7 linked regions of the Cricetulus griseus genome follow. The protein of the gene in region 2 interacts with the protein of the main gene of each other region in a biochemical or structural test. Links are inferred from orthologs where the notes say so. Each region holds a gene or a part of one and is shown on either strand. Other genes may lie near its edges.

The links.
Region 1: the proteins of Hif1a (region 2) and Epo form a complex in vitro, tested with the Homo sapiens proteins (2 studies listed by BioGRID). The link is inferred for Cricetulus griseus from reciprocal best matches to the Homo sapiens genes HIF1A and EPO.
Region 3: the proteins of Hif1a (region 2) and Egln2 form a complex in vitro, tested with the Homo sapiens proteins (3 studies listed by BioGRID, with this or other methods). The link is inferred for Cricetulus griseus from reciprocal best matches to the Homo sapiens genes HIF1A and EGLN2.
Region 4: the proteins of Hif1a (region 2) and Egln3 form a complex in vitro, tested with the Homo sapiens proteins (5 studies listed by BioGRID, with this or other methods). The link is inferred for Cricetulus griseus from reciprocal best matches to the Homo sapiens genes HIF1A and EGLN3.
Region 5: the proteins of Hif1a (region 2) and Mta1 form a complex in vitro, tested with the Homo sapiens proteins (2 studies listed by BioGRID). The link is inferred for Cricetulus griseus from reciprocal best matches to the Homo sapiens genes HIF1A and MTA1.
Region 6: the proteins of Hif1a (region 2) and Fhl2 form a complex in vitro, tested with the Homo sapiens proteins (2 studies listed by BioGRID). The link is inferred for Cricetulus griseus from reciprocal best matches to the Homo sapiens genes HIF1A and FHL2.
Region 7: the proteins of Hif1a (region 2) and Kpna6 form a complex in vitro, tested with the Homo sapiens proteins (2 studies listed by BioGRID). The link is inferred for Cricetulus griseus from reciprocal best matches to the Homo sapiens genes HIF1A and KPNA6.

What each region holds. Positions count from the first base shown.
Region 1 is NC_048597.1:116,408,862-116,413,075, reverse strand, and holds the start of Epo (erythropoietin), read left to right. Parts: upstream 1-1,414; 5' UTR 1,415-1,502; coding exon 1,503-1,515; intron 1,516-2,069; coding exon 2,070-2,212; intron 2,213-2,695; coding exon 2,696-2,782; intron 2,783-3,050; coding exon 3,051-3,230; intron 3,231-4,051; coding exon 4,052-4,207; 3' UTR 4,208-4,214. UniProt on the Homo sapiens protein: Hormone involved in the regulation of erythrocyte proliferation and differentiation and the maintenance of a physiological level of circulating erythrocyte mass.
Region 2 is NC_048598.1:129,464,591-129,468,090, forward strand, and holds part of Hif1a (hypoxia-inducible factor 1-alpha), read right to left. Parts: intron 1,193-3,500; coding exon 1,086-1,192; intron 1-1,085.
Region 3 is NC_048602.1:8,757,270-8,761,356, forward strand, and holds the start of Egln2 (prolyl hydroxylase EGLN2), read left to right. Parts: upstream 1-1,287; 5' UTR 1,288-1,382; intron 1,383-1,651; exon of another isoform or gene 1,652-1,784; intron 1,785-2,421; 5' UTR 2,422-2,657; coding exon 2,658-3,542; intron 3,543-4,087. UniProt on the Homo sapiens protein: Prolyl hydroxylase that mediates hydroxylation of proline residues in target proteins, such as ATF4, IKBKB, CEP192 and HIF1A. Target proteins are preferentially recognized via a LXXLAP motif.
Region 4 is NC_048598.1:148,126,438-148,129,937, reverse strand, and holds part of Egln3 (prolyl hydroxylase EGLN3), read right to left. Parts: intron 2,970-3,500; coding exon 2,850-2,969; intron 1,377-2,849; coding exon 1,240-1,376; intron 1-1,239. UniProt on the Homo sapiens protein: Prolyl hydroxylase that mediates hydroxylation of proline residues in target proteins, such as PKM, TELO2, ATF4 and HIF1A. Target proteins are preferentially recognized via a LXXLAP motif.
Region 5 is NC_048598.1:180,939,068-180,943,233, reverse strand, and holds the start of Mta1 (metastasis-associated protein MTA1), read left to right. Parts: upstream 1-1,366; 5' UTR 1,367-1,428; coding exon 1,429-1,521; intron 1,522-4,166. UniProt on the Homo sapiens protein: Transcriptional coregulator which can act as both a transcriptional corepressor and coactivator. Acts as a component of the histone deacetylase NuRD complex which participates in the remodeling of chromatin.
Region 6 is NW_023276807.1:5,371,111-5,374,610, forward strand, and holds part of Fhl2 (four and a half LIM domains protein 2), read left to right. Parts: intron 1-1,301; coding exon 1,302-1,488; intron 1,489-3,500. UniProt on the Homo sapiens protein: May function as a molecular transmitter linking various signaling pathways to transcriptional regulation. Negatively regulates the transcriptional repressor E4F1 and may function in cell growth.
Region 7 is NC_048595.1:23,348,937-23,353,236, forward strand, and holds the start of Kpna6 (importin subunit alpha-7), read left to right. Parts: upstream 1-1,500; 5' UTR 1,501-1,515; coding exon 1,516-1,735; intron 1,736-4,300. UniProt on the Homo sapiens protein: Functions in nuclear protein import as an adapter protein for nuclear receptor KPNB1. Binds specifically and directly to substrates containing either a simple or bipartite NLS motif.

The sequences.
Region 1 (4,214 bases), on a different chromosome or scaffold from region 2:
AGAGTACCTGCAGAGTCCAGAAGGAGGCATCGATGCTTTCAATCTAGAGTTACACATAGTTATTAGTTGCCACAAGGTTGTTATCAACTGAACCTGGCTCCTCTACAACACAGCGGGTGCTCTTAACTGCTAGTCATCTCTCCAGCCTCCTCCACTCAGTTCTTAATGCCACTGAAGGTCTCTGTCCGTTGTCCATCTCTCCCCACTAGAATGTCACCAGGGCAGGCATTCTTAACTGTGTCATACATGACTCAGTCCTCAGGTCCCTTCCCAGTCAGCAGTATATATTCCACAAACATTTCTTTTATCTTTACATTTTAAGATCAGATTTATATATTTTGTTTTATGTGAGGGTGTTTTGCCTGCACATATGTGTGTGTAATATGTGTGTGCCTGGTACCCTCAGAGGTCAGAAGAGGGCATCAGGTTCCTTGGAACTGGGGTTATGGATGGTTGTGAACCATCATATGGATGCTGGGAATAGAACCTAGGGGCTACAGGGGTGTAGCTCAGCAGTAGAGCTCCTGCCAAGACTTCCCCAGTGAGGGGCTGGGGGTGTGGCTCAGCGGTAGAGAGCTTGCCTCAAGTCCCTCAATAAGGGCATGGGAGCTCATTTAACCGAGCATTTGCCTAATGTACAGGCCCCAGGGCTCGGGCCTCAGCACTGCAAAAACAAAAGCAAAAACCCAGTAGCAACGTGCCCACGTGTCCTCAGCAACGTGCCACAGGCTTCCTGCCCTGAAAGTCACCTTTCTGGATTTTTAGGGTCCTAGAAAACGAGGGGTGAGAGGGGAGGAACCCCACAGTCCTCCCTCGCTTGCATCTGATTCCTCAACAGGAACAGCTCTGGCTTTTAGAGCAAGTCGTGAGGAGAGAAAGCCCTTGGGTTTTGCTTCCAGTCTCCAACTCTAGGTGTTTCTGATCAATCCCTGTCCCGAGATAAGGACGCCCCCCAGAGGACATGCCCAGCCTTTCCATAGGTCAGCTCCTCACTTTAGGTTTCCCGCACATCTCATAGACGTGCACCCCACTGAGCTCCCCTCCTGGAAATCAGAATCTGTCCACCCGCCTAAGGAAGACCCCCCTGACAGCGTGCGTGCCTGGAACAGCCCTCGCCACCCCAGCGAGCCCCAGACCCAGGCGTCCTGCTCCTTGCTCTGACCCCAGGTGGCCCCCACCCCTGGCGACCCCTCATGCACACACAGCCTCACCCCCACCCCCACCCGCGCACGCACACATGCTGATAACATCCCCGACCCCCGACCGGAGCCACATGTCCCCGGACCAAGCCTGGCCAGTGGCTGCGTCTTGCTGTGTTCCCGAACAGACCAGTGGCCAGGGCCACCGCGTCCCCGCTCTGCCCGCGCTCCCTGAACGGTGACCACCTTCTTTCAGGCGAGTGGGGTGACCTGGTCCCACAGATCTTCTAAGGATGAAGACTAGCAGCGTGGACACTGGCCCAGCCCCGGGTCACTAAGGGGCTCTGGCAGCCAGGCGCGGAGATGGGGGTGCCCGGTGAGTACTCACAGGCTAGGGACCTGTGACCTCCGGGGCTCCTGTTTGAGCAAGGATTTACATCTGAAGCTGTTGGCCAGGAAGTGACCGTGTACAAGGACCTGCGACTCGCCAAGGATCTAGGAGGAGAGAGGGGGGTGGGGTAGCTTCCACGTGCACTCAGGGGTTTGGGGAGCCCTCCCGCAAATGACAAAAAAGGGGAGATCCAGGACGGGGACAAAGTTTAGGATTTTAGGGAGTCGAGGCGCTGCTCCGTGGATGAGAAGCTGCTAAAAGAATTACCTGCGTCCAGGAGTCCCAGCTTCTCAGGATCTGCCAGCCTCTGGCGCGCACTTACAGTGAAGTTTGGCCGAGAAGTGGATGCCGGTCGCTTGGGGGGTGGGGTGTGCAGCGCCGAGAGATAGAATGAAGGCCACTCCGGCAGAGCCTAAGCAATTGCAAGGTCGGGGTCAGCCGAGACTAGAAGGCAGAGGAGCCTCGCTGAGCAAACCAGCCTCTGGAGTCCCGCAGCCCCCACCCCTCCCTGCCTCACACCCAGCCCGCCTTTCTTCCAGAACGTCCCACCCTGCCGCTTTTGCTGTCTTTGCTCTTGCTTCCTCTGGGCCTCCCAGTCCTCTGCGCTCCCCCACGCCTCATCTGCGACAGCCGAGTTCTGGAGAGGTACATCTTGGAGGCCAAGGAGGCAGAGAACGTCACGGTAAGCTTCCCGGCCCCACAAAAGAAAGAAACTGGTTCTTGGGGAGCTAGGAATTTGAGTTCCTTCCTAGCACGGCTTTTCAGGTCAAGATGAGATGTTTAGCCCTAAAGCTCTTCCATCCCCCTTCCCCCAGTGATAATGCTGGAGAGGGTTGTGGCTCAGTTTGGTAGAGTGCTTGCTTAGTGTGAAAGAAGCCCTGGGCTCAATTCCCCAGCACCACAGGAGCCGAGACTTTGTGATGGCCCAAACCTACATGCCTAGTACTTGGGAGATGGAGTAGGAGGATCAGAAATTCAAGGTGATCCTCTGTTACATAAGCTGAGTCCAGCCTCAAACTTGAAACTCTGACTGTCCAAAACAAGAAAGCATGATAAAGCTGGTGGCACCCAAAGCATGCCCAGTAACATTCAAAGACAAAGAGTATCTGGTGGCTTTTTGTGAATGAAACCTTTGGAGGTCTTGACCAGGTGCTGTGTCTTGCAGATGGGCTGTGCAGAAGGTCCCAGACTGAGTGAGAATATTACAGTCCCAGATACCAAAGTCAACTTCTATGCTTGGAAAAGAAAGGCGGTGAGTTCTCTTTTCTTTTTTTCTCCTTCCTAGAGGTGGGTCTCAGTCTGACACCTTGATAGTGTGGGAGAAAGAATGATAAAGATAATGACTGATGGAATATGCTAGCTCATCCATCCATCCATCCATCCATCCATCCATCCATCCATCCATCCATGCCTTACTGTGTGCTGTTCTGTCCTGTCCACCTCCGCTAGGGTGTCTGATAGCCAGGGAGACAGAGGGAAGGACTCTGGCTGGCTCTTTCTAAACCCTTTGCCTCCTCTAGGTGGAAGAACAGGCTGTAGAAGTTTGGCATGGCCTGTCCCTGCTCTCCGAGGCCATCCTGAGGGGCCAGGCCCTGCTAGGCAACTCCTCCCAACCATCAGAGATGCTTCAGCTGCATATAGACAAAGCCATCAGTGGCCTGCGCAGCCTCACCTCCCTGCTCCGGGTGCTGGGAGCCCAGGTGAGTAGGTGTGGACTGTTACTTGCCCTTTCTACAGGGTGGGCCAAGAGTTGTTAAAGAACTGAGGGCTGAGCCTGCAAGATAGCTCAGTGGGTAAAGGTGCCTGCCACCAAGTGAGATGCCCTGAATTTAATATCCCTAGAAGTCACACAGTGAGAAGAGAACTGGTTTCCTCCAGCTTGTCTCTCACCTCCACCCACACACAGGCTGTGGTGTGCATGCATATATGAATGAATCGATGTAACAACACATTTTAAACAAAGGACACTGAGAGCACAGGCTGGGCGATGTAGTGGTGGCGTGCATGGTGCACAAACGTTGAGTTCAATCTCCAGGATTTCTGTTAACAAAACAAAACAAATCAAACCAAAAACAAAGTGAGGTGGAGCACACATGGAACCCCAGGGCCGGGAGATTCCTGGGACTCACTGGCCAGCCAGTTCTACTCAGTTGGTGGGCTCCAGGTTCAGTGAGAGATGCTGTCTCAAAAACTAAGGCGGAAGGGCTGGAGAGATGGCTCCATGATGAAGAGTGCTTGCTGCCCTTCCAGAGTTCAGTTCCCAGCATCCACACCAGGTACTCACAGCCACCTTGAAGTCCAGCTCTAGGGGATCCGAGCTCCTGGCACCTACACACATCCAGCCAGTGGAGAGTGGCTGAAGAAGACACACCTCTGGCCTCTACACCCACACACACGCACATACACACATACACCCCCACACAAATAATACTGAGGACTCTCTTCACCCCCCACCTGTCCTTTGTCACGTTTTCATCTGCAGTCCTCAGCACTGCAGTGATATCCTATTTTCTCTTGACAGAAGGAATCGATATTACCTCCAGATGCTACCCCACCTGCTCCACTCCGAACACTCTCGGTGGATACTTTCTGCAAACTCTTCCGGGTCTACTCCAACTTTCTCCGGGGCAAACTGAAGTTGTACACAGGGGAGGCCTGCAGGAGAGGGGCCAGGTGAGCTGCCA
Region 2 (3,500 bases):
TCAGACTAGAGACTGATCACAGGGTACATTTAAGAAAATGGAGCTGGGTAGTGGTGGTGCACCTCTTTAGTCTCAGCACTCAGGAGGCAGAGGCAAGCAGATCTCTGTGAGTTCGAGGCCAGCCTGGTCTACAAAGCTACATAGAAACCCTGTCTCAAAAATAAAAAAAGGGGCTGGCCAGGTGGCTCTGTGGTTAAAAGCACTGGCTGTTCTTCCAGAAGTCCTGAGTTCAATTCCCAGCACCTACATGGCAGTTTACAACTGTCTATAACTCCAGTTCCAGGAGATCTCACATCAATGCACATAAAATAGTTAAATAAATTCTTTTTAAGAAAAAAAAAAAGAAAGAAAATGGTACCAGTTTTTTTAAGCACCAGAGAACCAATCACTGTAAAAAATTATACTCAGAACATTTGAATATATAAGTTCATGTCATACTATAGCCTTCTGTCAATTCATGCAGTCTAAATTAATTACTGACTTAAGAGAATGTAGTAAATCAATCATGATGATGCCGTTGTGAGTATCCATGCTCTGACTACAACTTAGGCATACTCTGTAGTTCAAGGCAAATTACACTAATTCAATGATACTCAACTCAGTACCCTCAATCATATTGGGAAGTCATGTTTAGGTCCAGATTAAATAGGCAAGTGAGGAATTATGAAGTTTAACTTAGTTTGGTATCATAGATTTATTTGAGTAAAATTCAGAAACCTCCTATATGTCAAGGGTGTCAGTTATCACATGTGTATACTAATCCTACTCACTAGTTCATGAACAAATGCTTTGTGACTACCTCCTATTGACCAACCACTGATTTCAGTACATATGTACGTAGGCTAGATAATCTATAATATTTGACTTTTATGGGATACTTTATGTATTTATTATTAAATGACTTTACTTTTTGCTAATATTTGTAACAAAACAATAATTTCATTATCAAGACATCTTATGAAGGGGCTGTAGGATGCTTGTCTAAGGAGACTGGGTGGTAATTTTAACTAGAAAGTAGAGGTACAGTACAGACTGCAGGACTTAAGCAATGACACTATTTCCTTGAGTTCCTCTACTGTACTTACTGTCATGATGAGTTTTGGTCAGATGATCAGAGTCCAAAGCATGATAATATTCATAAATTGAGCGTCCCAAAAGTTCTTCTGGCTCATAACCCATCAACTCAGTAATTCTGTTTAAAAAAAAAAAAGATTATCTTTTGCTTAATAAGTTTAGAACTCACACTTAACTATTCTATACTTTGGCTGGGCAGTGGATTCCTTTAATCCCAGCACTCTGGAAGCAGAAACAGGTGGATCTCTGTGAACTTGAGGCCAGCCTGGTTTACTGACAGAGTTCCTGGACATCAGGGCTATACAGAGATACCCTGTCTCAGAAAACAAACAAAAAACCAAACAACAAAACCAAAAAACACCCCATCCCCCCCCCCCCCCCCCGGCAAAACAAACCAAACAAAAAAACCCCAAATTCTGTACTTAGTATAAAGTCACTTAGATCAGTCCCTGATATCTGACTTATCCCTTTTACCCAAACTCATGACCTATTTTTTAAAACACATTTCATTATACACACTGTTGGTATCAAAGCAGGGTATATTAGTAAATCTTAATGATGCTAAATGAAATGACAAAAGTTCCAAAGACAGTCACAATTATCTTAAAATACAGTATAAATCTATAGCAGTTTATTTTTCATTCAGTGAAAATCTTTACCCTATTTTTAGGCCTGTGGCAAGGCCTCACTTTAATATCAACTATAAAATTTCACTATTAAGCCAAGGACATCCATACTAAATGGAAAGTAAATATTAATTTTCTAAAATTAAGAGGATTTCACATGAAAGAACGGCATCTAAAAGAAAAAGGGCTGAAAACGGATTCAGGGAGCCTCCTGGTCCCTGGGTATCAGCCTGGAAACCATGAGGACCCATTTTATGAGAAAGACAAGTCTGTCCTCGTCACATTAAACCAATTACAAACATTTTTCACTGAAGTCTTTCTGGGAACAAACATGAACCAAGTGTTGACACTTCTCAGTTTAGATTCCAGAGGACTTAAAAAAAGCCAACAAACAAAAAAACCAAGGTGCAGGTAAAAGATACTCATATGTCTAAAAAGCAAACACCTAATTACAGAATGGGCATAAGGAAGGTATCTTTGTTCATAACAGTATGTTAAATAATATAGCTTAGCTGTTACAGTTTAAGATCTGCCATTTACTCTAAAACCAACAAAGCAGATTTATTGAAGCATAAATCAAACTTTGACTCTTCAAAAAGGGATAACCAAAATACACCAACACTAGATGGCAGCATTACAAAGATAAATAAAATATACTTTAAAAATATGTGTTTTCTCCTTCATCCCAGAATGGTAGTAGGGATTAAATCTAGAGCAGTGATTCTCAACCTTCCTACTGCTGAGACTCTCTAACACAATCCCTCATGTTGTGGTGACCCCCAATCATAAAATTATTTTCATTGTTACTTTATAACTAATTTTGCTACTGTTCTGAATCATAATGTAAACATCTGTGTTTTCCAATGGTCTTGGGCCCCCTGTGAAAGGGCCTGTCAACTGTCAAAAGGGACATGACTCACTGGTTGAGAACCCTGATATGGGGGCTCACAATGCTAGACAAAGGTCCTCCCTACCCCATCTTGGTGCTGGTGATTTGGAGCTGGTGATTTGTACTAGTTTTCAGTTTTAAATGTTTGCTAAGAATTTCTTGCTCTATACCACCTCAGAATCAAGACACAGAAAAAAATTTGCCCAATTTTAAGAAAACCTTTACATCACATTTCTAGCATCCAGGACCATTAAAATGGGCCATCAGGTAAGGCACCTGCTACCAAACTTGGCAGCGTGAATTCAGTTTCTGGAACCCACGTGGTGGAAGGTGAGAATGAACTCCCACAAACTGTCCTCTGTCCTCTACCTTTGTGCTGTGACCCACATGAACCCACATACATGCACTCACACATGCTACCGCTGAGTGTGGAGGTGCATCTAGCCCTAAAAATTATTTGAATTGCTCTTACATAGTTTTACACACGTAAATAAAATTCCAACATAATGAAATACTTTTTAATTAAACATTCATGTTTCTGGTGTAATTCTAGACATGAAAACACAATGAGAAAACCTAACCTGTGGGCAATCTTCTGGTAAATAACTTGCTTGTCATTTTATTATATTTAGATTTAATTGCACACTTTTTCTTTCTTTCTTTTTTTTGAGACACAGACAGACTACAAAGTCCTGACTAGACTGGAGTCCGTATGTAGTCCAGGCTGGCTTTGAACTTTTGGTGACTTCCCTGTCTCAGCCTCCCAAGTGTTTTGAGATCACAGACATAAACCACCACATCCAGAATGTACAGCATCTTTTGATAAATAAAAATCTTCCCATCTACAATCCTACAAGAAACAACTGATGCATTTCTAATAAGAAATTGGCATAATCTGATCATTACCTTGG
Region 3 (4,087 bases), on a different chromosome or scaffold from region 2:
AGATTTGTGTGTGCTCTGGTGTAGATTTGTTTCCGTGTGTGTGTGTGTGTGTGTGTGTGTGTGTGTGTGTGTGTGTGTGTGTGTGTAAACCTGTGTGCCACTGTGGTTTTTTTTGTGTGTGTGTGCAACCGGGACTCCTGCTCATACTCGCTGGTGTGTATCTCCTTGTGCCCTGAAGTCTTTATATGGGCTTTTGGGGACAGGTGTAGCCCCTCGGGACAGCTTCAGCCGCTCTCCCCAAATGTCAGCAACCCATTGATTGCCCACCTGGTAGGCCCAGGAGTTGGTGGAAGGGGTGGGGCGTTCAAGTAACCCTATCCACATCGCCCCCCAGGAACAGTGGCATCGATGGTATGTGCGTTGCCTGTGCGAAGCTCTGGATTCAGTTCCCTCTACTGCATAAACAAACAAAAAAAATCTGCCTGGACTACAGAGGAGCCCGTTTTTTTTTCGAATGTCTGCCCCAGGTGGCTTTAATGTGACTCCCACGTTGCCCTGAGGGAGCAGCCGCGGCGGAGAGGGGGTCATGCAAATAGTACACATTTGCTCGTTTGTTCCATCCGACTTGGCTTCTCTTGAGGACATCCGGTACTCGCCGTTATTTCATTTTATTTTTATTTTTTAAAGTGCTTATGTAAATTACTGACGTAGGAATTTACAGACACTTTCCAGCTAAGTGCGCAGCCGTTTCTCAGTGTCCCCCAGGGCTGCGTGGAGGCGCTGCCTATGTAAATGACACATTTGCATAGCAGACTCCGGCACTTTCTCGGTGAAGCGCCGTCTTTGCACCCCCCCCCCGTCCCCCGCCCCGATTCCAAGGCGCCGTCTTATTTTTTTTTTTAAATTTTATTTATTATGTATACAACATTCTGCTTTCATGTATATCTGCACACCAGAAGAGGGCACCGGATCTCATAACAGATGGTTGTGAGCCACCATGTGGTTGCTGGGAATTGAACTCAGGACCTCTGGAAAAGCAGTCGGTGCTCTTAACCTCTGAGCCATCTCTCCAGCCCCGGCGCCGTCTTATTAAAAAAAAAAAAAAAGAAAATCCACAGAACTCCTTTTACCCCCGGAGTCCGCTGCGTTCCTGCTTTCGGCGTGGAAGGGGCGGGGCGCGGAGATGCAAATGAGCCTGGCGGCCCCGCCCCAGCTCCCTCCGCTCCCGTGCGGGGGGGGGGTTGTGTGTGGTGGTGGTGGTGTCGCGCACGCGCAGTCTGCTCGGCCGGGGCCGCGGTCACGTGCCCGCGGGGCGAGGCGGGGGCGGGGCGTCGCGGGGGCGGGGCGGGGCGTCGCGGGCCGTGGGGGGCGGGGTATGGCGCGCTGCGAGGCGCAGGGCGGCTGGCACAAACGGCGGCGCCGAGGCCGGAGGAAAAAGCTCGGTGAGGAGGTGGCGGTGCGAGAGGGAAGGACCCGGGGAGGGAGGGAGAAGGAGCCCGAGATCGGGCCGGCCCGGGCGGACGGGCGGGCGGGAAGCAGGAAGCGGGCGGCGGCGGGCGGCGGCGGCGGCGGCGCGACCCTGCGCGGGCGGTGCGGGTGCGGGTGCGGGGTGGGGGTGGGGAAGGAGAGGCGCGCGCCCGGCGCGGCGGGGCGGGGCGGGGAGGGGCGGGGCGAGCCATTGAGGACGGCGGGGGCGCGCGGCGGCCACCGAGGGGAGGGCAGGGCAGGGGAGGGGCCGGGCCGCCGCCGCGGAGGGGGTTGGGAGGGAGGCCGTCGGGTCTGACCCTCCTCCCGGCCTCCCTTCCGTCAGTCCGTCTGTCCGGCAGGACCTCCCTTCCGTCCGGGTGTGTGTCGGGCCCCGGCAGGCTCTCCTCCCGCGGGGGCACGGGCCGACCCCAGCGGTCCTCCCGCCCCCCCCCCAGCCGTTCTCTTTGTCCCTGGACCCCCCCCTCCCCGCCGCTTCTCCCCGCCCGGCCCGCGGGGCCCGTGGCCCTTCCTTTCCACCCAAGCGATCTGGTCCCCGCAAACGTGCGAGCTGGCACCCTCGATCCCCCGTCCCCGTTTTCTGTGTCCTTCTCCCCATCTGTCCCGAGTGTGTCTATGGAGCCCTCGGGCAGGTACCCCCCCCCCAACGCCCTCCGTTGCTCACTGTTGCTCCTCTTCTTCCTCAGATCTCTTGGATCGTATCTGTAGCCTGATCGCCTTCCTCTCTCTCTGTGGGCCCTCCTCGCAGCGTTTCCCCCTCTGCACTTTCTCTGTCTTACTCTGTCCGCCTGCCATCCCCCTCTCTCAGATTCCCAAGTTCTGCGCCCCCCCCCAAACCCCAGTGTCGCTGAGGCCTCAGCGCGTGTGTGTTATGTGTTTGCTGTGGGCCCTGTGTTATGTCCTTCCTGCTGGCACCATCCCCGCCCCTTCCCACCTGCTTGTCCCTAACTCCTCTTAAGTCCTTTTTTTTTTTTCTCCCTCCTCTCTCCCTTCCAGCCACCCTCACCAGTCCCTCCTGGAGCTCTTAGGGACAACTGTGAAGTTGGGGACCAGCGAGGAGCATCCCCGGGGCACCAGAGGAGCCCCTGCTGCCTGCCCTGCCTCACCCTGCCCCTTGCCAGGCCCGGCGGCCCCCGGCTGCATCCAGTGGAGGAGGAGGAGGAGGCGGAGGAGGGTGGCACCATGGGCCCGGGCCGTGCCCTCCATGCCCGGGGGATGAAGACACTGCTACCATGGACAGCCCGTGTCAGCCGCAGGCCCTGAATCAGTCTCTCCCTCAGTTGCCGGGGTCTGTGTCAGAGTCCTTGGAGCCTAGCCGAGCCAGAATGGGGGTGGAGAGCTACCTGCCCTGCCCTCTGCTACCCTCCTACCACCGCCCAGGAGCATCGGGTGAGGCCTCGGCTGGCAACGGGACTCCCAGGACCACAGCCACAGCCGCAGCTACCACTACCACCGCCAGTCCCCTTCGGGAGGGCTTCGGTGGGCAGGATGGCGGTGAGCTGTGGCCACTGCAGAGTGAAGGTGCTGCTGCTCTGGTCACCAAGGAGTGCCAGCGACTGGCGGCCCAGGGTGCCCGGCCTGAGGCCCCCAAACGGAAGTGGGCCAAGGATGGTGGGGATGCCCCTTTACCCAGCAAGCGGCCGTGGGCCAGGCAAGAGAACCAGGAAGCCAAGGGGGAAGGTGGTGTGGGCTGTGACAGCGTTGGCAGCGGCAGTGGCAACAGCAACAACAACACTACCAGTAGCAGTGGCGAGGCAAGTGCTAGGCTGAGGGAGGAGGCCCCACCCTCTGCACCGGAGCGCCTGGCCCTGGACTATATTGTGCCTTGCATGCGGTACTACGGTATCTGCGTCAAGGACAACTTCTTGGGGGCGACACTGGGTGGCCGCGTGCTGGCCGAGGTGGAGGCCCTGAAGCGGGGCGGGCGCCTGCGCGATGGGCAGCTAGTGAGCCAGCGGGCGATCCCACCGCGCAGCATTCGTGGGGACCAGATTGCCTGGGTAGAAGGCCACGAGCCAGGCTGCAGGAGCATTGGTGCCCTCATGGCCCATGTGGACACGGTAATCCGCCACTGTGCGGGCCGGCTGGGCAGCTACGTCATCAACGGGCGCACCAAGGTAAGGCACTTTTTTGGTGAGTGCCTCGTGCTTTGGCGTGTGGGTTTGGAAGCAAGTTTCTGGGGTTGTGTAGAACACCATGGGCAGCTCCACCGGAGGGTCTACAGTTACCTGCCTGTGGGGACCTGCGTGTCTTCCTCCCACTGGACTTTGAGTTTTGTACCTGCAAAGTAGTTGAGCCTAGATGGCAGTGGTCCTTGCCCTCGGGAGATCAAGAGCGGCTGACTCGTCTTAACCTTAGACCGAGGGTGGTTGAGGTTGGCGGGAGTGTGTTCTTGTCTGCTGGCCCGCAGATGGCAGACCCAGGAGGGAAGGGTGGCAGTGTTGAGGTAGCCTAGGCTGAAGATGGGGTTTGGCTTGTCTGCTTGAGCACCTGGCCTGGGCGACATTCTGCCCTGTGAGCCTACTCTTGGCATCTGCACCAAGAGCTGCTTCCTGGAGGTGACACTGGATGCCAGTGTGCTGGTCCAGGTAGAGCCCTTGTCCACATCCTCCCCACTCCTCCCTGCCCTAGTCCCTGTTGTGCGCCCTCTGACCGTTGGTCA
Region 4 (3,500 bases), about 19 Mb from region 2:
CTCTACACTCTGCCTGGCCCACAGTGCTTGCTGGGAGACAAGGGAGAGTTGGAGGTAGAAGCATACATAAATATTTTTATCAGAGCTTTCTAGGTTAAGATTAGACAATTCTAAGGTGTTCAGTGACTCTAATGATCTGTATAGCCATGTGCTAAGGAGGAGGAAGGAAGGAGGAAGGAAAGAAAGAAGGGAGGGAGGGAGGGAGGGAGGGGGAAGGAAAGACAGAAGGAAGGACGGAGGGAGGGAGGAAGGAGGAAGGAAAGAAAGAAGGAAGGACAGAGGGAGGGAGGAAGGAAAGGAGGAAGGAAGAAGGGAGGAAGGGAGAGAGGGAGGGAGGGAGGGAGGGAGGGAGGGAGGGAGGGGGGGGGAAGGGAGGAAGGAGAATTTTAAAACATTCAGTTGTAGGTCTGTGATGTAGCTCAGTTAGTTGATAGAGTGCTTGCATAGTGTGCGTAATACCCTAGCATCACAAAAACCCTGTGCAACGCACATGCCTGGAATCCCAGCACTTAGGAGGTAAAAACAGGAGGATCAGAAACTCAAGGTCACCCTCTGCTACATGGTGAGTTCCAGGCCAGCCTGATGTGAGACCTTGTCTCAAAAATGAACGGATGGACAGACGGAGCAAGCAAACTATAGTATCCAATTGTGACGGCACCGATAAAGTTAGCCCAGGCAAACAGAGAGAATAGAAAGGAAATGAATTCAGAACAAATTATTCTTTCCTTTCCCAAGGTTCTTTCTTTGCTTAAACTGACAAACTAGAAATTCACTTGAAGGAGCAGAACTTTTGAAATGTGATAATCAGGATTAGTTCAACATTGGGTTTTTGTTGCTACTGTTTTCTCCTTGACATTTCTGAGCCTAGGTCTCATTTAGCTCATGCTGTCTTGAACTCTCAATCCTCCTGCTTACATCTCTGACTGCTGGTGTAACAGGAGTGTACCCATGCAACTTTAGGGTTTTTTTTCCCCCATAAGGGGAAGGAGGAAGGAACAGAAGGAAAGGGAAATGCATTCTAAGGAACTGAGACCAGTATGCACAAGTCACAGTTAATAGTTACTATAAACTGAAACCTAAAGAGCCCCTTCAATTTCTATCATTCCAAACAGGCTGAGCTGTCAGTTTTGGGGTGTGACCAGCACTTCTTAGTATAGGACATGAGTTCTAAGAGTTCTCCAGGAACTGGGATCCCACACATGGGATCCCTGCAAGAGGGACTGTGGCCCCGGCTCTTACCTGGTAGCATAGGAGGGCTGAACTTCATGTGGGTTCCTGCGGTCTGACCAGAAGAACAGGAGTCTGTCAAAAATGGGCTCCACGTCTGCTACGAATGATTTCCCTTCTGGAAATATCCGCAATACCCCTCCATGTAACTGAAGACCAAGAAGAGGAAGCGTTATCTCCTGGTCTCACATAAAGTTTATCAGCAAGGATGTGTTAGCGCTATCAAAGAGAAATGCCACCTCTACCTCAACTTTAAGTGGGTTTTACTCCCCAAATGTTCACTCCACTTATACTTTGTAGTTAAACTTACGTCAACTTGACACAGCTTAGCTATCTACAGTTCCTCATCCACTTCAGACCAGCATCTTCCCACTCCCATAGCCATGAAGCCCACAGACATAAAATAGCAGACAGTCATCACACAAAACTGTCCATGTCAGAATGCTTCAACCCAAAAAAGCAAGCAGACAAATCCTAAGCAATTTCCTAGCTCCATCAAATATTGTCTAAACATTCATCACAGACAGCTGCCCCTGCAATAACAACTTAGAGCATTTCTCTGAGTTCTTCAAATGCCCATCTGACCTCATTGACTGAACCCTTCCCTGAACTCTCTCACCTCACTGCCTATACATTTTAGGACATCTGTCACTCTCTTCGCCTCCTTTTTCTTTTTCAGATGTACAATCTATTTGTCCTACTGGAACAATCATCTTCTGGGCGGAAACCAGGCTTCATACATCATTGTTTCTACATAACACACATCTAGCGCTGGCAGAAACTCAAACATTTGTTGGTTTTATTCTTCCTCGTTTATTATTGTTGGTCTAATAACTCTGCTCACCATAGCATCCCAAGAGATATTTTTAAGCCCTTAAAGGAACTGTTCCAGTCTTGCTACCAAATAGAGGAGAGATACAATGTTACATACATGACCACAGTCAGAGTGTGCACTAAGGAACAGCCAACAGAGATGCACAGAATCCAAAAGCTAAACAAACTTCTAAAGTTCTCTGAATTTCCCACACTCCTAAGTCATTCTTAACTTTCAGAGAGCACATAAGGGACAAACCATGTCTATCCAGTCCATCTCTACCACCTACCATACAAAAACCAGCCACACAACCTCTGTCATTCACAAGCTACAAAGAATGGCTCCCTATGGGACATACCATCCCGAGAAAGAGGACTGTGTGGGAAATCTTTCTCGGGGACAGTTTGCTATCCCACAGTTCTGCCTTTGTGGAATTCTCTCAATGTTGCTGCTGGGGGGCAGGGAAGGTGTACATTACATGCTGAGCTAAGACTCACATCAGCTCTGCATCCCAATGTTAAATTACCTACCTCATTAACCCCTGACCTTCACAATCACCATACCCCCCCTCTCACCAAACTAACTTTATAGCCACTGTCTTTAATCTCAGCAACTTTGGAACTAATTCCACAAGTGGAAGCAAGGTAAAAAATAGCACAGTGGAGACAATTAGAAACTATAACTCCCCTAAACATACCTGAATGTTTTATCTAATTGAAAATGGCTTGCTCCTCTCAGTGCACCCCTACCTGCACTGTTTATGGCATATATAACCCACTCCAACCCCTCCCCCATTATTCCACAGTACCTTGGCATCCCAATTCTTATTCAGGTAGTAGATACAGGTGATACAGCGGCCATCACCATTGGGGTTATCCACATGGCGGACATAACCTGTTCCATTTCCTGGATAGCAAGCCACCATTGCCTGTGGAGACATCCGAAGGATTCTGTTTAGAAAATCTTAAATAATAGCTTCACCATGCAGCAGGCATATACGGCACATAAATTCGGATCACTATCAGAATACAGAATTAGCATGAGGTAACCTTTGGTATGAAAGCTTAGCAGGCAGTCCATGCCTTAGGACTAGGTGCAGGGTAAATAGTCAGTAATATTTCCATGTCCTAAAACATTGAAAACCTTCTAAAGAAACCCATCTACATCATCAACAAGATGGCTTCCTTTCTTTAACATTCCTTTTTGAAAAAGCATGTCCCAAATTTCCATCTAACCCCACAGGATCAGAATGCCGAGATATGAGGGGCGGACATAGTGGATACACGCATGTACTTTCAATACTCAGATGCTGAAGCAGGAAGGTGGGGAGTGAGATGTCTGGCCTACACAGAGAGACTTTCTCTAAAAGGAAGGAAAGAAGAGAGGGGGGGGGAGGTAAAAGAAAGGCTCTTTGGTGTGGGGCTATGGAACTATGCTTGTTTAGCAATGCCCTGAATTG
Region 5 (4,166 bases), about 51 Mb from region 2:
GAGTGAGCCCTCCTGTCCTGGTGCACCCCACCCCAGACCAGTGCCCACCATCCCCTGCTCCAGGATATCTGTGTGCCTCTCATCTCTGCTTGTTTGCTTGTTCTCTACTTGGGAGACATTGGATTTTATTTCAGTTTTTGGCAAGTATGAATAATTTGGGGTTTGGGCCTTAATTTGATTTGTGATCATGGAAGTTTAGATTGTAGATATCTTTTTCCTTTTAAAATTTTTTTGTTTTTTGAGATAGGATTTTTCCATATAGCTCTGGCTGTCTGGTACTCACTCTGTAGACCAGGCTGGCCTCAAACTCACAGAGATCCACCTGCCTCTGCCTCCTGAATGCTGGGATCAAAGGTGTGCACCACCACCGCCCAACTCAAAGTACATTTCTGCATTGGCTGGGAATTGAACCTGGGGCCTCCCGTGCGGCAGGCAGAATTCTACCACTGAACCACCAGTGCTTTTGGATGCCTTTAAAAAAAAAAAAAACAAAAAAAAAACTAGTTTTATTAAGAAATGATCCACATTGATGGAATTCATCAGGGTGTTTTCACAGGGGCCCCAGGAGAGTCCCAAATCTAAGCCCAGAGATTGTTCCAGTACTGTTACCGTACACTTTCCTTCCTGTGGGCCTTGCTTTTCCAGGTGACCCTTCACCCTGGTGTGAACCTCTGTGCACTAACTGCTGGAGTTGTAAGGTTGTGGCTGGCCTGCTGCTGGGTGGCACAGGCTCAGGAAGCAACGCAGTGACAGGCCTGCAAGTGCATGCCCACATGGGGACAGAGAACTGCAGTTGCTGCCTCTGCCCATTTCAATAGGAGGAACCTTCCAGTCAGCTCCACTAAGGAGGGGTTCAGTGCCAAGGACTTCTGCCAGCCTGGCAGTAGACAGTCCAGCATACCGTCTGCCCTGGGACTGCTGGAGCATTGTGGTAGTAGGGTGATCTGAGCTGTCCAGGCTGGGTCTGCCAGCTTTGAAAGTCTCCGTGTCTATCTGTGGAGCCTGGCCTGTGGTGGCGAATGGTAGACACACTGTTCTTGCCTGCAGCAGCTACTTGGAGCGTTGTCCAGTAGTTTTGAGCAGGGGCCTCGGGATATTTGGAATTGGGCTTTATGGGGAAGCTGAAGTTAGTCCCCCCCCCCCAGCCTTCCCACTAAGCCTTGTGCTCCTGAAGGCAGCTAACATTGGATGTTTGAGGACTGCAGGCCAATCCCAGGACAGCCCCTCAATCCCATCACCAGCTGTGATCTGGCCCAGCACCCCTCTGGATGGGTTCTGTCCATCCAATAGAAGAGGCTTTGCCTCCTCTATTCCCCAGCCCTCTGACCCCTAGCAGAGTGGGACTAGGGCTTAGAGGGTCTGCTTGAGGCTCACAGCCAGTTCTTAGGGATTCTGAGAATGGTGGGGATGGCTTAGAGCCCTGGTGCTATGCATGATGACCTCTCTGTTGCAGACTATGTCTACTTTGAGAACTCCTCCAGCAACCCGTACCTGATCCGCAGGATTGAAGAGCTCAATAAGGTAAGAGCTCGACACAGTGATGCTGCTGCCTGACCCTGGCAGGGAGGGGTGGAGCCTCCCTGTTGTGGGTGGGCAGGGTCTTCCTACCTGGGTTTTGATGTCCTTCCAGGGGAGGCTGGGAGTGAGTCCCTGTGGCCATGTCTAGGCTTCTTTTTTTTTTTTTTTTTTTTAATTTTATTTTTTTGATGTGTGTGGGTGTTTTGTCTGCGTGTATATCCATGCTTAAGGAGGCTGGAAGAAGGTATTGGATCCCCTGGAACTGGGTAGAGTTATTGTGAGCTGCCATGTGGGTGCTGGGAATCTAAAACAAACCCTGGAAGAACATCCCATGCTCCTAACCACTGAGTCATTTCTCCAGCCCATGCCTAGGCTTGCTTTGTTTATTTGTTTTGTTTTTTTCAAGGTAGGATTTCTCTGTAGCTTTGGAGCCTGTCCTGAAACTCACCCTGTAGACCAGGCTGGCCTCGAACTCACAGAGATCTGCCTGCCTCTGCCTCCCGAGTGCTGGGATAGAGGAGTGTCCCACCACCGCCCAGCCTGCCTAGGCTTCTTGAGGACAAACGTGGGGCTACCTTGAGGCGTCACCAGTTCCGGCACCCCATCTCCCAACAAGTACTGGTCTGTCTAAGGCAGGTTCCCTCATGGACTTGAGCACATCAGGACTCAGAGGGATCTGGATGGTTCTGGAGACTAGTCACAGACCAAGGGCAGTGGCCCTCTGTGCCACTCATCCACACTCTCTCTCTCCTCATTCTCTTCCCATTTCCATTAGCCTAGGTGGCTTCCTGGCTATAGGACTACCATGAACACTGCAAAGTTGTCTACTCTGTCCATTACAGTGTTGAGGGTGTGTGCAGTATTTATACCCTGGGGTCCTATTGGTGTCTTACCCCAGTCGCTGCTTCTGCCATAGTTTGTGTCTGCTGGGAATCCTTGGCAGACACTGAATCCTTGGTCTGGGGGCATGGTTGTTCCATTGCTAGAACCCTGGGATAGTCACACACCACCTAGGGTGGTGGCTAGGAGTGTGGAGAAATGGATGCATGGATTCCAAAAACTCGGCTCCATTCTACTCTGCTTGGAGTGACCTTTTGGCTCTTTGGAGAGTGAGGTGGTCTCAGGTCAGCACAGTCACATAGCAAGCATACCAGGAACCTTCTTGTCCCTTCTGGGTCTCAAGGATCTCATGGCCATATCCCTACTGTGAGCCTCAAATGTGGCCTGCCCACTCTTGGCTCTAAAGTCCCACGTGATTAGAGGCTGGGGTAGGCAGGCCTATCCCTGCTCTGCTTCCTCTAGTGCCAGGCAGAGAGCAGGACCGACCAAATTCCCAGACCTGTGTCTTTGTAGACACTCTTTCCTGCCAGGCTGGGTGGTGACAGGGCCTCCATAGCCTTCTTGAGTACCATAGACCAGTGAGAAGGGCTGCTCTCCTAGACTCAGGCTTGTTGGAATGGTGGCTTGGGATTCTTGGGATCAAATGGGACAGAGAGGGCAAGGTTGGATGCTACCCCGCAGGTGGCCATGTTGAGACCGGACCAGCCCTGCAGGTGGCTCTAGATGGAGGCTTAGGTGTAGCCCCAGCTTCTAGGTCTGGCCTTACCAGCTCCTTGGAACCCATGTTGCCAGGCTGTGCCAAGGCGGTGTGCTGCTACAGCAGCGTCTTCTACAGCCGGGGATAAGCTCTGTATGAGCGTGCGTGTGTGTGCACACACGTGTGTGCTTGTGCACACATCTGGGGATGTTTTGGGAAGATGAATTGGTCCGAGCATACAGGTAGCTTCTAGAGACCTGAGGCCTGTCATGGCCTAGGTGGGCACTAGTGTTTCCTCTGATGTACTCACTGGGACCAGATCCTAGACAGGTGCCCCATGGTTGGCTCTGGCCACAGTTGTCAATAGGCAAGATAGTAGGTTGGGTAGCTGGAACTCTACCAGCTACTATAGGTGTGGACCAACAGGCTCTCATTTACACATTTCAGTTACACAGACTTGGACATGAACAAACAGGTTTGTAGAGGAGTATCCCAGCTGCAGTGAGCAGCCACCAGAGGGTGTCCACTGGCCCAGCACATGGGAGCTGTGTCAGCCCCATCATTTTGAGTGACATTGTAGCCTAGGTGTCTCAAAGCCAAGTGCCAAGGACAAGTCAAGTAGTAGGGAGTTGTGAGCTGGGCTGGCAGTCTCAGATTCCCAGGTGTAGACCAGCCTCTCTGTCTCTCAGTGTCAGACCTCTGTTACTGGGATGGGGCTCCTATCCAGGCTTCCGTTTTGGCCATTGCCATGGACCCCTGTAGTATGGATGTCTACGGTAGACAGTACCTCTGATCTCCACAGTCTGTGAGAGGTCCTCTAGGTTTCGCCCTTCAGTACTTGAGATTAACAAGGCACCATGAACTCACTTGATGTCCCTGGCTTCCATCCACAGCTAGCAAGTTCAACACACATGAAATTGCCTCAGGTCCCTGCTACAGAGCAAAGACAAGTGCCTTCAGTGATGAGAAACTCCTGAGGCTAAGCAAGATTAATGCCTAATACGTGGAAATGGGGCTAGGAGGAAAAGGGGACAGCTAGTGCAGGGGACAGAATCCAGGGCTCAGGAAGGGAGAGACAGTACCAAGCCTGAGCAGGTCTATGGACAGGGGA
Region 6 (3,500 bases), on a different chromosome or scaffold from region 2:
GGGGGAGAATAGAAGGGGTGAAGAGAGATGGAGATGGGGGAGTGTAGGGTTTAGGAGACAGTGGATGTGAGATCCAGGGCACAGAGCAAGGACCTCCAGGCAGAATAAATACCACCTCACATATACGTGCCTCCTGTATCTCCACAGAGCATGGAGGACACAGAACACGTAACATAGAATTTATTTTCCTTAAATTCCATTCCTGGGATAGGGGAGTGACCGGCAAATGATCTTTAATGTATGGTTTAATGACAAGAGAGCAGGATAGAAGGGAGTCTCGATTCTTCTTGCCTTGTCATTAACCAGCTATGACTTCATTCTTGGACAATACCTGGGTCTCAGTTGATTCTTCTGCAGCTTAGAAACAGCATCTTGCTGCACAAGCATCATACAAGGACCCCAGAAACTGCCGAATGCTGCCACACTGTTCAAAAAGGAAAACAACAACAACAAAACAAAACAAAACAAAACAAAAAAGATGTGGTCTGGAGTATTTCCTTTTTTTTTTTTTTCCTGCTTCTTTCACCACCGCCTGTCAAGCTGAGACCTATTCAGACTCCCCCGATTTCTGACCCCACTCTTCATACATGCTTCCAATTCCCACGAAAAGCAGTATTTCAAGGTAATTAGATGCAGTTGAGGGATGGCGAGCTGTTTAACACTTTGCACCATCTTCGAAAACCTGTGTCTGTAAGACAGGGTGAGGATAAAGGTTCCCAGGATGCAGGTCCCTTTAGCCCACACCAGTAGGTGCCAATTCCAAATGTCTTTAAGCCTCTCCTGTCCTGCCCTTGTAGTTACTGTCCAGGCTGGGCATGAGAATAAAGCTGGAGAGGTCACCACTTGCTGGTATTTGAGAGAAGGCTTCCACAGAGATTTGTCCACATCTTCATCAGTGCAACGTCATAGCGCTGAGGTCTTGTGCCTTGACTCTTCAGCTACAGGGATGCTCAGAAGAAGGCATCGATGTCCTCAATGTTATCTCTGATCGTGACTGCACCTCTGCATCACCTTTGTGTTTGGGAAGGTGACAATGCCCCATAACACCCATGCCTTCTGTTCCCCTGCACTAGTGATACCTAAAGACCCATTGGCACTAGGGAGAAAGCCAGGAGCCACATTAGTGGTATGGAGGGTAACATGAGGTGCCTGAGGTTTGAGGTTCCTTTACCACTTCAACAAACTGGACGTTTACAGGGGGTTGAGGGCATCATGCGTCATCCACTGGCAACAGTGGTGACAGATGCCTACCAGAAATAGTAGCCGCCCTGACTCTTGCATTTGTTTCTCCCCTCTCCCAGCCCATCACCACAGGAGGTGTCACTTACCGGGAGCAGCCCTGGCACAAGGAGTGCTTTGTGTGCACTGCCTGCAAGAAGCAGCTGTCTGGGCAACGCTTCACAGCAAGGGATGAGTTTCCCTACTGCCTGACCTGTTTCTGTGAGTTGTACGCCAAGAAGTGTGCTGGGTGCACCAACCCCATCAGTGGTAAGCATCCACGAAGGCCACTGTCATGGAATGGGCTGTCTGCCTCCTGGAGCACTGGGGAGGCCTAGAGTTTCAGCATGGGTGTTAGCACCCTGAGGTGCTGCGCCCAGCCCACCTCTCTGCTGCCCGTCCTTGGCACGCTGCTTGTGCTTCAGCAGGTTCCTGATGACTTCCCCTCATCTGGTCATGGAGAACCATTGGCCTGTCGTTGAGTGTTTCTGCTGGGGTCTATGAGCCTGCTATAAGCACATGATCAAAATGTATGATTCATTTCAGCCCCAACATCAGACTCAGTATGTGGAAGTGTCCAGGCCATCTTAGTGAGACTCATTTAACCACAGACCGCAGCTACAGGGAGACACAGGGCACATTCTGAGTCGTTTATTCATAGCACAGCACCCAAAGTGTTTGACAAAGTGAGAGCCCCACATGTCCTGGGCTGGCCAGCCAGTTATCAGGTGGAGACTAGATGGCTTCAGACTGAACACTCACCATATATACCAATCAGTGGCCAGGTGGGGAGAGAAAAGTGCAAGTGTTCTGTCAAATGTAGGAATGTTTCTCGAGGTGGATTTTCCAATCCCATTCACTCATTCCATCTGGTTTAGTTTGCTTTCTATTGCTCTGATAAACACCATGATCAAAAACAACTTGTAGAGCAAAGGGTTTATTTCATCTTACTGCTTACAGTCAAGCAAGAAGGGACGTAAGGGCAGGAACCTGAGGCAGGAGCTCAAGCAGAGCTAGGGAAGAGTGCAGCTTCCTGCCTTGCTCTCCGTGTCTTGCTAGGCCGGCTTCATAACCCAGAACTACCTGTCCAGGGGTGACACTCCCCACATTAGGCTGGGTCCTCCCACGTTGATTGTTAATCAAGAAAATGCCTCAGAGCCTACTTGCCAACAGGAAGAGGTTCCCTTTGCACAGATAACTCTACGTAGTGTCGAGTTGGCAAAAAGTTAACCAGTCCACCATGGCTTTATCCTCGATGTACAATCAGCAGACATAATGTGGCAGGGAGCAGCAAGCCACGGATTTTCCCTGTACCTCTGCAGACACGCACACCAACGTTCGCCTTGCCTAGAACCAAGTCACCTTGGTCCTACTCCCCTTTCACATTGGCAGGACTCTGGAATGTACCCAGAGCTTATGCTTTATTTGCATGTAAAATCAGAGTATACAGAATACTTACATTTTCCTTTGTCAAGACATCTGATTCTAGTGCTCATATACTCTAATTTTCTTGAAATTAGTTATGGAGGAAAATGGGACATTTCTCAGTAATACATCATCTTTGATGCTGTTTTTTTTTTAATAACTTCTGTTGAGGGAAACATTTGCAACACTTTTTAATCTGTGGGAAAACCTCGTAAATGTGAAGGACTTTAGTGCTAGACATGCATGTTTGTTGCAGTTATCATAGAATTCTGAAAAAAACAAAACTCTAGGACGAACACGATTCTTCCTTTAAAACAGCAGAATTAGTTCTTTGAAAAGCAGTGACAGATTTTCAAAAACCATATAGAAGGACTGTCAAATTGCAACTAAAATGTGCTTTCAGACAGATTTCCAGAGACTTACACCCTGAGCTTGGATGAAGTTTCAGACAGGTCTTTAGTGCTTTTCCTCTTCAACACAGTCTACACTGCTTTTGTGAACAAATTGGAAAACACTACAGATTTTTACCTGCAGCAATGCTTGCTTCTCATCTGCAGTCGATCATATTATTTTACCCACACAGATTTGCAAGCGTGTCTAGTCTTTAAAAATGATTTGCAATCTTAAAACAATACCCCTGGTACTTTTAGTGACCCACAGCTGTGTACAGAGCAGTAGTAGTTTTGAGTTCTCAGTCATCTGTGTTTCTGGTTGACACTAGACAAATGAAGCCCTGCCTTTGTGTTCCAGCTTTTTCAAGACAGGGTTTCTCTGTGTAGCTTTGGAGGCTATCCTGGCACTTGCTCTTGTAGACCAGGCTGGTCTCGAACTCACAGAGATCCGCCTGCCTCTGCCTC
Region 7 (4,300 bases), on a different chromosome or scaffold from region 2:
TTGTGTATGTGTATGCACAAGCAGGTATTTTTGTGTCACAGAACGTGTGTAGAGACAATGTACAAGTTTCAAGGGTTGGAAACCCCTGTGTACCAGAAAGTCCAGGGCCCAGCTCTGGTGGGTCATCAGGCTTGTGCAGTAAGTACTTTTACCTGCTGCCATTTCTCTGGTACTTAATGTCTATGGTTTTAAAGCAGATGGGGCGGGGGGGGGGGGACAATTGGGCCTGGAGATGTGTGAGGTAAGGAGTCAAGTTAGCATGATACATTTTACTTGAGTATTTCTTTTCCTCCTGTTGAGTTTTTTCCCTTCATTGGCCAGGCATTTGGGTAGACTTGGCAATTTGTGATAGGCCCTAAGGTCCAGATACAAGAGTCTTCTTTCTCCTTACAAAAGATGGAGACTAAAGATTGGCCATAACCCCAGCTCTGTGTGTGGCACTAGGTATCAGCCCAGCATTCCTTGATTCAGAAGGCAAAAGCTTTAATTTCCTCATCGCTAGGAAAGGGAGCTCACTAACTTGTGAATTTCTTTTTTCTTTATTCATTCAGTAGTCATAACCCAGGTGGTGGCCATGGTGTTAAGCAATACAGAACTGACCCTTACTCTAACTCGTGAGGTTAGTGTACTCTGCCAAACACACACACACACACACACACACACACCCTCTCGCTGGAGAATCTTTTAAACTCCTCTTGGTGCGATAGTGCACACCTGTGAGCTCAACACTGGGAGGTGGAAGCAGGAGATCTGGAGTTCAAAGTCATCCTTATCTACTTATCAGAGGACAGCCTGGGACACCCCCAACCCTGTCTCACACAAACAAAATAAAATAAAGGTCTGGAGCCTTTCATCCCAGTGCTTGAGAGGCACAGGTAGGTGACTCTGAGTCTGCTGTCTGCCTGGTCTATAGAGAGGTACAGGTCACCCAGAGGCATATAGTGAAACCCTGTCTCCAGTGAACAAAAATGAGAAACAAACTCCAGTCTAATCTTGACTCCTTTTCCTTATCTCCATAGCCTTGAACAAGTCACTTCCCCTCTCTAGACGATCCTTATTCAGTTCTATATGGCCTTAATTATAAAAAGAAGGGGTGTCTTTCTGGGAAAGGAGGCCTCACCATAAAGAAGAAATAAAAACAGGAAAAGTTGAGAACTTGGTACATTGTTCAGTATATATTCTTTGTAGTCCCCTTAAGCCTGTCTATTCCTTCCCTGATTGACACCTGGAGTGGCTGCCTTCTGGGGCCTTATTTTAGGTTTTTTGTTTTTTTGTTGTTTGTTTTTTTTCCTTGGTTTTTCGAGACAGGATTTCTCTGTCTTTGGAGGCTGTCCTGGAACTCTCTATAGACAAGGCTGGCCTCGAATTCACAGAGATCCACCTGCCTCTGCCTCCCGAGTGCTGGGATTAAACCACCAACGCCCAGCTGCCTTCTTCTTTAAACGCCTGCTCACCCTGTCATCTCCAGGAGGGAAAGGGGCGTGAGGGTTGAGAACGCGTTTAGTACGGTATAAAATGTTTGTCCCTGTCAGGCCGCCGTCCTGCAGGTCCGCCATATTGTCTGCCGAAGCTGCCGCTGAAGCCACAGCTGCGGCCGCCGCCAAGTCTGAGCGAGCGGAGCCGCGATGGGTGAGTGAGGCAGCTCGCAGATGGGTGCTCGGGCTGAGGTCTTGGGGATCGGGGTCTGCGAGGGCCTGTCTCTCGTCTGAAGGAGATGTCGGAAGCGTCCCGATAGGTACGGGAGGAGAAATCGGGTCGGGAGTGCCCCTCAGGCCAGTGCAGGGCCGGCGCAGGGCCGCACGGGGAGCCGCTCCCGGGGCTGGTTCCGGATGCCCGGCGCCCCCGGTGTCCCCACGTGGTGGCCTCGGGCCCGAGCTCGCGCGTCCGCGGGGGAAGGCAGGGCCCTGCCCTCGCCCTGCGCCAGCCTGCCTGCCTGCCTGCCTGCCTGCCGGGGAGCTGGGAGCGGGCTCGGGCGGCAGGCCCGGCCGCCGCCACGGGGAGCCCGTCCCCGCGGGCACTGGGCCGACGCGCTCCGGAGCGAGGTGAAGCCCTACCTGCCCACGTAGCGGGGAGAGCCCCTGGAGAGGAGGCGCGGGGCAGGCCGGCTCCCGACCGGTAACCAAGGGCAGGCCGGGTCCAGCGCAGCCCGGGCCTTGGAAGGCCGGGAAAATGCCCCAGTTCGGCTTGCCTCGGTGACAGGCTTCGTAGTGTTTAGAGAGCCCAACGCCAAGACTTCTTGGCATAGGCAGGCCAGAGATTGGAGGTTTCTGGACCAACTCTGGTTGGTTAGCAGGAAAAGAGAGACCTGTTGATCTTTTTTTAAAAAAGAGGACTCTGGATACGAAGGCCCCTGCCCAAAAGAGTACGATGGTGAAGTCTTTGAATTCAGAAACAAAACCAGCACTGGTAATTTATTGCCATCAGTAAAGTAAGAACTTTGCTAATCTGTATGTGCAGACATTGTTGTCAGCGCTTAATGTGTCTTGTTTAGCCTAATTCCAACCTAGTGGAGTGGTTGCTGTTGTTGTTCCTATTTTACAGATGGGGACACTGAGGCTTAGAGTGGTAAAGTAACTTATCCAAGGTCACACAGTGATTAAAACAGGGTGATCACTCCTGAGCTCTAGGATTTAACTGCTTTTTATGCTTTGGCCCCCTAGTGGTGGGCTGAAGGAAGGAAGGGACCGTTTTAACCCTACATAAAGTTGTGAAGGTATTTTGTTAGGGGTCCAGTTTGAAACCTTTAGTCTGAATGAAACTCAAAGGGTTCAGGGTGAATTGCTGACCCCCACCAACTTTAAGAGAAGCACCTCAATGCACTTCTGAAATTTCTTATGATTCCTGATCCTAAGGGAACACAAATTATTTTCCCTGCCTGTGATTTTCAAATCTGAACTGGCCTGACACTTCTCACACCTCATCCTCTTACTTAATTTACAAACAGAATTGCATAGAGAAGGTGTCTAGCACAGTGTACAACAGAACAGTATCCCTCCGTTTCTGAGCTTTCTCATCTCTAGAAAGGGAGTGTGCAGAGCCTAGCCAGCTCTATAAATAACGTGGCATTCTTCCCCACCTTCAGTAATAGCCGTTCTTTCCCCTCCAGAACCTTGTAGAAAGTTTAAGAAAGATCTAGGAGCAACTGGAGCCCTGGAAGGCAAGAGGTAATCTAGATTCATTTTTACAGATTGAGAACAATCTCAAAGAAGATAACATAGCTAATAAACAGCCTCCAGGAATGAGATTCTTCCACATTTTACTGCATATCAGCCTCTAAAATTTAAGGTGGAGCCGGGAGGTGGTAGCACACACTGTCACTTCAGAGGCAGGAGGATCTCTGAGTTCAAGGCCAGCCTGGTCTACAGAGTGAGTTCCAGGACAGCCAGGGCTACATAGAGAAACCCTGTATTGAGAAAAACAAAAGGGGGGGGGTGTTAAGTGAGGTATCTTTTTTTTTTTTTTTTTTTTCTTGTTAGAATGTGAAAGTTCTTCAGCACAAGAGCAAGACCTGACCAAAGTCCCAGAAAGAATTTTTAGTATATCAAGCCAGGTGACTTCCCGCTTAACTTCAGTGATCAAACTAAAGTAAGGATATATTTAATCACAGTGTGTAATCCTAGGTAGTTTGGGTAATCTCCATTACAACAGTGAATTGGTGCTTTGAGAAGATTAGGTAACTAGTGCAAGGCTAGTAATCGAGGCCCATTGGGTACTGGTTATCATATAGCCGGTCTTTACCCAGAGTCTGCTCTTTTGCCTCTTTACATATACTCTCCCAGGGCCTATATGTTATACTTCACTACTCACTTAATAGACCTTTGTTAGTGATTCCACTGTCTGTGTTGGTGAGGAAACTATAGATGTTCCTTTGCTCTTGATTTCTAGCAAAGACCTCAACCATTTGAATTCTAGTGGGTGCTGGCTATCTAATCACCATTCCCACCATCCTGCTAACGGGAATTTGTCATTCTCTTCCAAAATCCAGGGTGGATCTTGATTAATATAAACTCTCAACAGGTCTTTGTAGTTCTGTTGTCCTAGGCAGTGGTTGATTAGGCTGCTTAGATGTGAAGGGAAGTATGGGGAACTTGTGGAAGAAACTTTCTTATTTAAAGCTGCCTTTCTGGCTTTTTAAAGATTATTTGCTACCAGAAGTTGATGGTACACACTTTAATACCATTACTTGGGAGGCAGGGGCAATCAGATCTCTGTGAGTTTGAGGACAGTCTGTCTGGTCTACAGAATGAGTTGCCAGGACTATTTCACAAAGAAACTCTGTCTCGAAAAATAAACAAACAAA